2 linked regions of the Drosophila melanogaster genome follow. The protein of the gene in region 2 purifies or fractionates together with the protein of the main gene of each other region. This does not show direct contact. Each region holds a gene or a part of one and is shown on either strand. Other genes may lie near its edges.

The links. The genes of interacting proteins can lie anywhere in the genome.
Region 1: the proteins of DAAM (region 2) and Myo31DF purify together in Drosophila melanogaster (affinity purification with western blotting, with the first as the bait; one study listed by BioGRID). This does not show direct contact.

What each region holds. Positions count from the first base shown.
Region 1 is NT_033779.5:10,502,904-10,508,392, forward strand, and holds the start of Myo31DF (myosin 31DF), read right to left. Parts: upstream 3,877-5,489; 5' UTR 3,112-3,876; coding exon 3,023-3,111; intron 1-3,022. Other genes in the region: CG6094 (uncharacterized protein), read left to right, coding at 4,291-4,452, 4,516-4,965; CG7384 (uncharacterized protein), read right to left, coding at 5,184-5,309, 5,367-5,489. UniProt on the Drosophila melanogaster protein: Unconventional myosin that functions as actin-based motor protein with ATPase activity. Binds to membranes enriched in phosphatidylinositol 4-5-bisphosphate, and can glide along actin filaments when anchored to a lipid bilayer.
Region 2 is NC_004354.4:1,304,649-1,310,991, forward strand, and holds the start of DAAM (dishevelled associated activator of morphogenesis), read right to left. Parts: upstream 3,825-6,343; 5' UTR 3,476-3,824; coding exon 3,428-3,475; intron 198-3,427; exon of another isoform or gene 118-197; intron 1-117.

The DNA of each region.
Region 1 (5,489 bases), on a different chromosome or scaffold from region 2:
GAGCACAAAGTGAGTAGCATTTAAATGAAAATGAAATGCAGTTTGTTGTTCGCATTGAAAGTGGATATCGTCGTATGAATCATCAGTTTGTCGGCTAAAACTGCTCATAGTTTGTTCCACCGATTTCATAAAGTGCCTGATGGGGAAGACCCACTTCGAGCTCTCAGGAACTTTGCTTAAGTGGGTGTGCCAAGCTTATCGCTCTGAACACTGATAGCAATGGAGTGTAGTACAATCTATTAAGGATTCCATAAATTTATAGTCTCAACACTTTATTATAATTTATATGTATTCGACATGCGTTGTAAAAATGTACATATAGCATTTTTGCTATATATTATTTATACCTATGTTTAATCGGCTTCTTCACCTCGTCACATTTAAAGAATTTTGAATTTTTTTCCGATGTCAAACAAATTACTTAATAAAATCCAAAAATAATGCTCCAAATTCAACGACCCCAGTGAATATTTTTCACACTGAAAGCAGTTCATGGAAAATACGAGAGCTTTAGATGCTAGCTAGTTCTCTTTGAAATACAAATAAATGCGTAAACAATTGTCGAAAATGAAAACAAAACTTATCAGCTAAGTAGACACGAAATGGGGCACTTGAGTTCTGTTGCATGTGATGCATTGGCAGCCAATAAGGGTCAGAGGGCAATCGATCAGGCATTTTATGGGCCACTTGGCCCTCCCATGAGGACACTCGACTTAATGACAGTCGTAAAAAAGATCAACTTGCTCCAAATGCTGCGAACTTGGATTGCGGCAAACAGAGAACTCATCTGTTTCTTTTGGGGGATCGTGGAATCCCAGATGGGTTCATTTTGGGGGCAAAAAGAAACAAGTTTTCTTTTCAAAAACACATACACACTCTTCTATTTTGTGGGTGAGTCTCTCTCGGCCAAACTGACGCCATCAACCGGTTCGTATTTTGGCTACGCCATGGCATTTTTATTTCAGTTTTCTTATTGTTGACTCGCGTATCTGCAAGATACACAGCATGAGTCACGGAGCATGCAGATATATTTAATATTGCTTAAATAAAATATAGGATTTTCAAGCTGCCAAACAATGAGTACACATGTGATGTCATGTGGCAAACAAGTAAACTAGATATATATATATATATATATATATATATGTGCAGCGAAATGCATTCATTTCCCCATTTGATTGATGCCAAATGAAAGTGAGTTTTATTTCTTTTACGTCTTCATCGCACATTTTCCAATTACGTGTGCGTTTTCCTCCCATTTTTGGCGCGTTTTTGACCCTCAATTTGTTGAGGCGAGTTTCTCAACTCGTTTGGTTTTCAGTTTTCCGGCTTTCCTGTTAAATATTTATTAACAAACAGCAAATTGATTTGAGTTATGCTACGATTATGCCGTACAGTAAGACATGAAAATCGTGTTTGCTATTGCAGGTATGACTGTGATTATGTAATTAGTTCAATTTACACAGCTTAATTTGATTTGCTGATGCTTTGATAAGCGATTTGTGAGCCACCAAAGTGGGTTAACGCATCTTTGGCCGTAAGTCCGCTTTAATTACAGTCTTATGCAAGCCACTAATCTCAACCATGGTAATTAACCAGCTCAAAATACAACTGGGTTTACTCCAATGCGTTTCCTTTTGCGATGGCAATTTGAACAATTTGACTCATTTGCAGCTTTTGTCTTATCATTCAAATCGTTATTGTGATGAATCGTCCGAGAGTCTTTTAGCAATTAAGTGAATATAAACATAAACAGATTAGATGAATCAGTGCCGGGGAATCGTAACACCATTTATTTATAGACATTGCAAAATATTTGGAAAAATAATCATTTAATTATCAAACAGCAGACTTGTTACCAAAACCCCGAATTTCTACAATTTTGCAATGCTCTGCCAATCAGTTGAACAAAATGTATGTGGTGGCGAGAACTTTTCCGGATAACGATCATTTCCACATGAAAGTTAGCCAGCCATGCAGCAAACCAGCGACCCGGTATGAAAATGGATGGGGAATCCATTCGTGCTCCAAGTGCAAAGGAAGCGGTTGCAACAAGTTGTTGACACTCGGACCGAAATGAAATAAAATGAAATGATATATGTGGGTTGTGGCTGCGTGGTTGTCGGTGGGTTAAGGAACTTTACATAATGGTCATGTAGGTAACCACCTGGAACCACAGTGCCGGCCACACAAATATTGACACGCGATTGGGCGGTTGGTCCCCGGAGTGGGAATGTGACATGGATTTCACTCTCTTAAATATTTAACTTAGATAATGGTAGCTGGATGATTTACAGATACATCTGCTACTTGATAACTACTATTTTAAACTACAAAAAGCAGAAAGATTTGAACATGTTAGCTTGATTCTCAATCATTTTATAATATTTATTCATGCAGTTTGTAGTCACATTTTTTGTTTGTAACCAACTTTAAAAAACCTTTAATTAAGCTAAATATATCATATTTCTTAAGAATTTCTCTCCTTTTCCATCAAATCTATTACCACTTTCCGTTCAACTACCAAATTGAATTGAAATGCCACTAATGAATGCATTTAAAACCGAAAGTCATGCCACAAAAAGGAGAGTTTAGCACTCCAAATGAGCACGTAAATGGGTCCATTGAGTGCCCTCTGGAGTGGAACCGAAAACTCGGCGGGAAGGGGTTAAATGAGGGAGATAAGGTCGGCTTTAATTGAAACGCCGATAAGCAAATCCAGTTTAATCAAGGCGGAAAAGCCAAGAACTACGGTCAAACCAGTTTTTCCGCTCGCTAATCGATCAAAACAGAAGCCTTGAACTAGACCATCGACTGGAGGAAAAGTGGTTTTCCCAAAGGCGCGGAGTTCGCGGGGGGAGTCGTTTGTGATGTGGAGTGGAGATGGACAAGTTGGCGGAGGACAAGGCCAACGGAGGAATCAATAGATACGGTAAAGGTAAAAGTAATCTCTCTGTCTTTTGTTATTATTAAAAATTCTAGCTTAGCTTGTAATTCTTAAATAATTTAGAGGCAAACTTACCGCTTTCTCAGGTTATCCATGAACTTCTCCATGGACACTTGGTCGAGGAGGACGAAGTCCTGCACTCCAGCTTCCCGTTGCATAGCCATGGTGTCCTTTTGATCCTGCGTTTATTAGAGTTTAACTCGCGAGCGGAGGGTGCGGTATTCCGGGGATCGAAGGGGGGGATGCTAATTGCCGGCTGCAAAGGTGAGAGTCGAAAACTCAGGTAAGAACGAAAGGAGTATCCCGAAAAACACGCTGTTCACTTCGTTTTTGTTTTGTTACGTTTTTATTTGCTTGTTTTGTTTGCCTCGCCTTTCGCGTCTCGTCTCGAATTTTAACTATATATGCGTACAAATATAAATAAATTTATACATATGTATATATATATATATTCCGTGTGGCTGCTGCCAAGCGATTTTTATGTTTTATGAGCCAATTCGGGCCGCTTCTGTTGATGACGACGAATAATTCTCGGCGAACACGCAGTCACAGCGATCAATAAAGAATAATTCTGGATTTCTGGACCGATCGAACGCTTCCAATTGGAATCGAGCAGGAGAAAAAAAAAACAAGAACAAGATCGAAAGCAGAAATATAAATATAACGAGAACTCGATCGCAACCACTATCTACCTCACTGTTTAATGAAAACCGCAAATTTCGCGTTTGCCGCACGTTGTAAACATTTAGTTTTTGGGTTCTCCAGTCTTTGATATACGTGTATATATTTAAGGTCGGTGCAATATAGTCCGGAAGATCGGTGTGAGTGCCCACCTGGATTCAGTTTCGTTTGCGGCGGATTAATAACAACAATCGGCCGTCGCACAACCGCACTCGACCGCATTCAATGAAAGTTGCAGAGGGACTGTGGTCAGACATTTCGAATACGAAAATGTTCGCCATACGAAGCTGAAAATTGCCTAAATTGGCACTCCACTAATGGCTTGGAACTTGGCTAGTGCGCACTTCAACCAGAGGACTTACCTAATGCACTTTCCACACTGCCTTATGCTTGTGACAGTGGAAAAGTTACAGAGTATGGCGTACAAAGTATCGTTTTCCCTTGTTTTAAGATTAAAGATTGTTTTTTAGGATTAACAATAAAGAAAACACGGTTACATAAAAGATAAAACAAGCTTTCGATTTGGGAGTTTTGAATTGTCGCGCTTAGCTAAGTTCGGTCACACTGCACGCAACTCACCTCGAACAGCTGTTCTGTGGTGAACACAAACGTCGTTCTCGTAACATTTAATTTAGCTTAACTCATTGAAATTTTGGCATAAAATGAATAAAATTACGAGTGCCTTCATAAGAGTTCTGCGCCAGAGCAGCTCCTCAGGCGGCACAGGCAACCTTCTGGGTCGTCAGCTCTCCTACAAGAGCGATTTATCCCTGGACAAGATCTATCCCGGCGCCCGACTGCAAATCTACACGCCGCCCCCGCCGGTAAGTGGATGCAGTGCCTTCAGGGATCCCATCTATTGATATATGTATACATCCCCCACCCAGCCCAGTGGCAGCGACAAGTTCAGCGGCTTCATTCCCATGGACCGACTGGAGATCACCTACAGCAGGAGCTCCGGACCCGGTGGTCAGCACGTGAACACGGTGAATACCAAGGTGGATGTACGCTTCAAGGTGGCACAAGCGGACTGGATACCCGAGCAGACGCGCCAGAAGCTGCTCAAGGTGCTGGCAAACCGGATTACCAAAGACGGCTACTTTTACATCAAGAGTGATCTTACGCGCTCCCAGCAAATGAACCTGGCCGATGCGCTGGAGAAGCTGCGCACCATCATACGCTCCCAGGAGGCTGTGGCACCTGCGCCACCCAGCGAGGAGACACTGGAGAAGCTGCGCAGGCGCCAGGAGCGAGCGGTCCGCGAACGTCTACAACTGAAACGTGGTCGCGCCCAAGTCAAAGCGGATCGGCAGGGACCGAGCGGATTAGACTTGTAGTTTTTTATTGGAAATTGTTATACAAAGATGCACATTACACATATACGCTTAACTATGCTATGGACGCCATTGCAGGTTAGCACTATCACAGATTCTGTACGGACATACCCCCTGCTGGAGTATAACAACTAATTAACTTTACAAAATTGACACTTACATTATTTAAATATTATACAAAGATCTGTGAGAGTGGAAACCCAAATGGACTTGACAACATTCTAGGTCTGCTCGTCCACTCGAGCTGGTGTTACCGTAAATCTCTTGGAGCTCGCGACTTGGATGGCCGCATCCCTAGCTGGCTCGTCCTTTCCCACTTGCGATGGCATGCTCGCGAATCGTGGACGCTGGAATACACGAAATGAGCACTCGGGATAGACAAGACAGCTTTGTGTGCTACTTACTGGCTGTGGAGGACTCAGCTGAACGGAGACCTCGTGGCTCCGTTGCGATGGTCTGCTTACTACGCTGTGGCGTTGGCGTCGTTCTACTGCTGGTGGATTAAACCCTATTCTCGACGCATACAA
Region 2 (6,343 bases):
GATGGTTGGGATTGCCACCTCCATTGCCGAGTGGGGCAGCGGGTCAGGGAAAACGAGCTTGACCTTAGGCCCCTGCCGAACGAAACCAATCGCGATTCCAAACTAACTGAACCTCACCTTGTTTTTTCGCGGCGGCTTCTTGACTTCAACTTGCACGGCTGTTTGCATCTTCCTGCCCCAGAACTGGGTTCTCAACTGGGCAAAGTTTTTGGCCGAGATCCGTATCTTATCCAACTCGGTCCAAAATATAGCTATATTTGCCTTGCTTTGCATGTTTACTTGCTTTGACACTGACAATGATACGCCATCCAAGATGCGGAGATACTCAGCGAAAGAGTGGAAGAGCAAGGTGGCGGGGAATCTTATCACAGCTGATGTGATAATTACCCAGAGCAAATACTGAGATACATGGTATTGTACTATATATATGGAACTCCTCGTTTAAGGTGTATTTATCGTTTAGATTTCTTGTTCACATATAATTTAAAAAGAATGTTCATCGATCGCTTTCAGCTCATTTTATATAAACGAGAACCTAATATGTCCCGATATGGTTACCTTTAATTGCTAATTGCTTGGCTTATGTGCCGGACATCCCATCCACATCCGATCCACGAACAAATGCGTTATCAGCTGTCAGATGGGCACTTTCACTCGGAAAAAAAAAGGCGAAAACAAAGGAATTATGCTTTTCCAGTTGATTAGTCGGGTCAGCGGCGGCTAATTCATGTCCGCATAAATTTCAATTCAAATCTCTGACAAACTCTGGAAAGTTTCGGAGCGTAGGTGGCCCGCAAATGGATCGCATTACATGCAGATACTTTGGTATCTATTGCCATTAGGAATGATGAAGTAAGTCAAACAAGACGGCCAGCTGGAGTGGAGTAGAGTGAATTGCATTGGATTGGATTGGATTGGATTGGAGAGCAGCGGTCTCCGAATCCGAATCCAAGTCCAAGTGGATTAAATCGAGCTGGAGTGGGGACTTCACATGCAAATCAGGCTGAGACAGGAAATTATTACACACTTTTCCCAGTCTAGTTTTGGTCATGTGCTGGTGGTGCCTGGTTTCGGTTGCTTTCGCAGCGATTCATTAGCATTGCACGGCTTCCGTATATGGGCTCCGAAAATGTATAAAGTGTTCGTGTGCGGCCAGGCCTATGCCCAATTGCTATAGGGTTATATGGCTATATGGGTCAGAGCTTCCCGTGTCTAGGTAGTGATATCAATCCGTTATCGGGAATCAACTTTCTGTGATGCGGTCACCACAATCGAGGAGACGGGTGGCCGGAGACCTTGGCGGTCTGTCTGGATTTGTCTAGGGTTCGGATTACGGACTATGCCATATTATTATTTCATACACTATAAATACACTATAATGCAATAGATATATTTTTTTTTTTGTAGCAGACTTTGGCATAGCCCAAGAAATACTAGCAGGCCTTGCAGCCTCAAGCTGAAAGTGCCACATATAAATAGCAGGTAATTGGAGGTGAGCAAGTGTGAAGCCACCGGTTGAGATAATTTAACTATCCATCCAATGACTTGGCCCACATTCCAGCTCCAGTGCTCGTGAGAATCGAGTCCGTCTGCTGAATGCCCCCGTATCGCCTCGAACTACTCCGTGGGCTAGGCCAATGTCAGTCTGGCCTAGCTAGCCTAGAGCCTAGAATCCGCCAGCGGCTTGCGTCATAAATAAGGCGGCCACAGGCCAGACGAACCAGTTCGCGAGCGGGTTTGGCGGCAGTTGCAGTTGCAGATGCAGAAGCAAACAGTTGGCCGAGATGCAGATGCTGATGCAGATGCAGATTATGCAACCTGCGCATTTCGTGGAGAAAGCTCAATGGAATTCTAGCGCAGATTGCGGTAGTTGACGTCACAACGGAACTTGCCGTTAATTATTGGTCATTCGTTGGGGATAATCCCTCCAATCGCGAATTATGATAGCCCCCATTCCCTGCCCCTTCCCGTTGCCCAACTCCCTCTAGGCGTCAGTGTGTCGCCAGGAAGTAAACTCAGCGCAGCCCGAAGTGGAGCTACAAGTCATTGAAAACCCACACAAGTAGAGCGTAGGACAGACAAGTGGTATTATGACATTTCCCAACCAGCATAGAGGTGTTGTGTCAGTTGAGTTGGTGTAAAATATGCGATAAATGCCATTGCTATGCTGTGCAGTATTTGTTCTTTTTCCTTTCCAAAGCCATACATACATTTCGATGGACTTCAGTCAGCTGGGTTGCTATAAAGCTATTGCAGTTGCAGTCTTCTAATTTCATGCCGAATCCAAGCCAGGAGCTGCTTCATTCATCGCAACCAATAAGTGCTGGTCGAGAGTGCGAGAATGGGATAGCATGGGATGGGTCTTGAGAGGATCCAGCAGAGGCTCGACCGTTCAGATTGCCCAACTCTTACCCCCCATCGGCATTTCTACACTCGCACACAAGAAGGCAACCGAAAATTATTACTAATTAATTATTGTTGCACAAACAGCAGACGCCTGGCTGCAGTGCACCTCGAGTACTTTCGGTACCTCCAATACCGATCCCATCCCGCCATATAATTTGCCGAATTGGACGTCGGCCACTTGTTTGTTTTTCGTTTGATTTTTGTTTTATGTTTGTTATGCGGCGCGCGGCATTTCGTCAGCTCATTCAATTGAAGCTCATTCAGCCGCACTTAAATCAGGGGCGAAGTGAGCGGGGGAATTGGTGGATTGCGGGATGGCGGCCAATGGGCACTTAATTTCGCTGGAGCGCATTTCACTTTCATTTCCACACAATCAAAATACGTCGAGTACCCGGGCATCGGACATCGGGCATCCGAGCATCGGGGATCGGGGATCGGCGATCGGAGAAGGGGGACTGGGAAAAGTGAGGCGCAAAAATTTCAATTTCATTTTATTTATGAGCGTCTAGGCGACACTTTTGAATGCAAATGACGTTAAATTGTTGGTCAAGTGAGAGCGGACTCTCGCTGCCTATTCCCCCTTTTCCCTGCCCCTCATCTACTTCGCCCCCCCCCCTCGATACGAGGCTCACAGACAGCAGGTGGAAAACCTTAGAGGTGCAGCAGGGAACTGCGTGACGAAACCAAAGCAGTTAAGAGGGACTTACCCTTCAGCCAATAACTTTTCTTCGAAATTGCAAAAGGGGTTGCGAAGTAAAAGCACAGAAGCTAGACAGACTTCCTAACCAAACAAAATAGTTTATGAATATAACAATAGATGTATTAAATGTACAAAGTATTCGAGGCGACAGTGTAGCAAATAGTTTTCACACCATTTTACTGGGTTGCACAAAAAGCGATTCAATTTAACGAAACAACCGAACCGAATTCGTGTAAAGGTCCACTCTTTGGCAGGTTTAAGTGGATCGACCCAGAGACCCACTAACGCCCCCAAAAGCCCAGAGAATCCCTTGGCACTCACCGTGTTGATCTTATCCATGAGGACACTCATTTGATTCATGCTCGACATAATGATACTGCTCTGTAGCACTGGAATTCGAATTCAAAAACTATAACTATAGCGTTGCAAGTCTCTTCTGCCGCGGACTGGGATGCAGCACCAATTCGCACATCACGCACTGCTCATTGCCAATTCACTTGATGCAAAAAAAAATTAATCCGAAGAAAAAAAAAATTTTAAATTGACATACAAAGTGTATTCAAACAGTGTTCGTTCGCTTTGCGAAAAGCACACGCGCGCGCGTATTTCCAATTTCCGATTTAATCAGTTCGACTTCTATATAGCCTATAGCCTTAGGTTTTGCTTTCCATAGCCGGTCTCTGTCTGCCGGATGACTTGACCCGCTCGCGTGCGTTCTTATCGACGGCTGGCAGCGCATTGAACGCTCGCCGCTCAAGACGTGCCCACGGCAGCGGCGACTTGGCCAAAAGCAACACGACGAGCACGAGCACGTCGCCGCGGCAAGCCGAAGAAGTTGGCCAAGACAGAGTGGCAGCGACAGGTGCCAGCAGAGAGCCCGAGAGCCGGAGCGGGCTCCAACGCGAACGCGAAACCGGTCGACGGCAGAAAGCGGGCTCTGAGCCTATTCTGTGCCTAATGCCGCAGACCCCACTGTGTCCCAGTCTCAGTCGCACTCCCGCCCGCACACCGCTCGCCTTGGCTCGCGGATTGGGGCCGCCTTGGTGGATAGTGGGTGGTGGAAGGTGCTGCATTTCCATGTGCGTGCGGGGTGCATTCCTGGGGTATTTATGAAATCACAAGGGCTGAGACACTTGAAGAGATATCGAGGTAATTATGGGTGTGAAACGAAGAGCTTACTGCTACGAGCATTTAGAAGACCAAGCGGAGCCTAAGGTCCACGATACTGGAATACCACCTGCGATTCATTCCCAAATGCAATCCAACCAGTGATAGTTTAACTTCGAAAGGAGACAACTAGCCGACCAATGTAAAGGAGTTGGAAGCATGAAACCAAGCCAAGAAACAATTGGACAGCCGAACTGTCTATCGAACAACTTAATTAGCTCTGGCAAATCAGCCGCACACAACAGACAATTGTTAGTCCGCTCGATAAGTTGTTCGGCAACATGCACATAGCCATGTTCACCGGTAACTTTGGCAATTGTGGGCTCAAAGCCGCCAGAGTCGAAGTCAAAGTCAAAAACAATTTAAGGTCGTCACAAGTAAAGTTTGTTATTCCCTCTCTTTTGTTTCGATTTTGCAAGTGTCATGCAAAAAATAAAATATCATGGCAATACCGCCGTGTAAAAACACCGCCTCTGCCCCTCTATCTCCACTTCCCGATTTTCAGCAACGATTCTCATCATCTCTTTTTTTTATGTAACGGTCCTTATTAGAGCCAATGTTGTTGTCTTATACCGACGATCATTGGCCAAATACCGAATGCTGACGGTCATTCAATTTGGAGTCGACGGCATGAGGTGGCCATCCGTTCTTTAGCTGTTTTGGCTGGATATTCGCGCCTTTTTTTTTTAGCTTTTTGATACCCTTAACAGTTGAAGAGGCAAATGCTATTATTATTTTAAAACCAATTTGATGGTGTAACCATCTTCTACCACGTCTAAATTTTGATCGTTGAAAATAGAAGAGCGACTATTCAATGATGTATCATACTTATATTTATGGGCTGTAAAGCGCACTCATTTTCCGATTTTCTAGACCTATCGAACATTTACCAACTGCCTCCTCGGCAGCGAACCGTCTTCAATGACTTCTTACTCACCTGTTGTTGCTAATTGGCTTCGTTGTTGGGATTAGTCTTTGGCTGCAAGTGGAAAAGAGGAGAACGGCGAGAAGCAAATTAGTAGGAATCCGTCATAGTCATAGGTAGTCGGAGTGGTAGTCTCCCTATTGATTAATGCAATCCTCACAGCCCGAGCCAAATCGAATCGACTCTCCCATTTCCCATCTCCCATTTGCTACTCGAAGGGCTTTTTATGGGTGTTGTGCCAACTCATCCGAAAGCCACCACGCTTCGATCGCAATTACTTGGCCATTATGTGATGCAGCCAGACATAATTTCCCATTAGCAGCTTTTTGTCGATGGGCCAAGAAAACGTGAGCATGAGGCAGTTCGTAATCACTCAAAGAACCCACTTCATTTCCCTGGCTAATCTGATTTGGTTCGCCCCTATCTCCAGGCACAACCTCTGCCCAGCCCCTTTTCCATTTCCAGCTAATCGCAGATGCTCCTACTTCATCAAGTCTGCCTCCGCCCGAAATCTTGTAAAATCATATCCATATCATTTTTGAGCTTGAGCTGACGAAATCCTAAAGTACAGAGAAGGTGTTTAAAAACATTGGTTGAAAGTGAAATTTTGCCCACGGCCGCGTCGTCTTCAATTTGTTTATTTTCGGCTGTTTAAATGAGTTTTCAATTTCACTAGAAAGCATGAAAGTACGGCCTTTTAATATTCTTGCCGGGCAGAAATCACAGCGAAATGGAGAAATACACAAACAATTTATCCGCCTGTTGGCACCTGACATGAATGAGTCAAACACAAGTGTTTGCTCGCCCCGTCCTTTTCCTTCGGACTCTCTCTCTCTCTCTTGCGCACGCCCACTAAATCACAAGTGTGAGTGACGAGTGGAAAGGGTGGAAAGGGTAGGGTTAGGGGTGCAGGTGAAGGGCGCGATAACTGATGTGATGCGGCTAATCTGCTTGCCAGTTTCCTGAGCCTTCTAGGGGAAAATCAAAAGACTTAAGCAACGAACTTGGGGAACAACGCTAAGGAAACAACAAAGCTGAGTAAAATAAATCTCTCGATGAAAGTGTATTATAATAATCACTGACAGCTGCCTCTCCCAGCGGCGGATCACCCGCATCTGTGCCACTCGCTCGCACATCCGTCAATT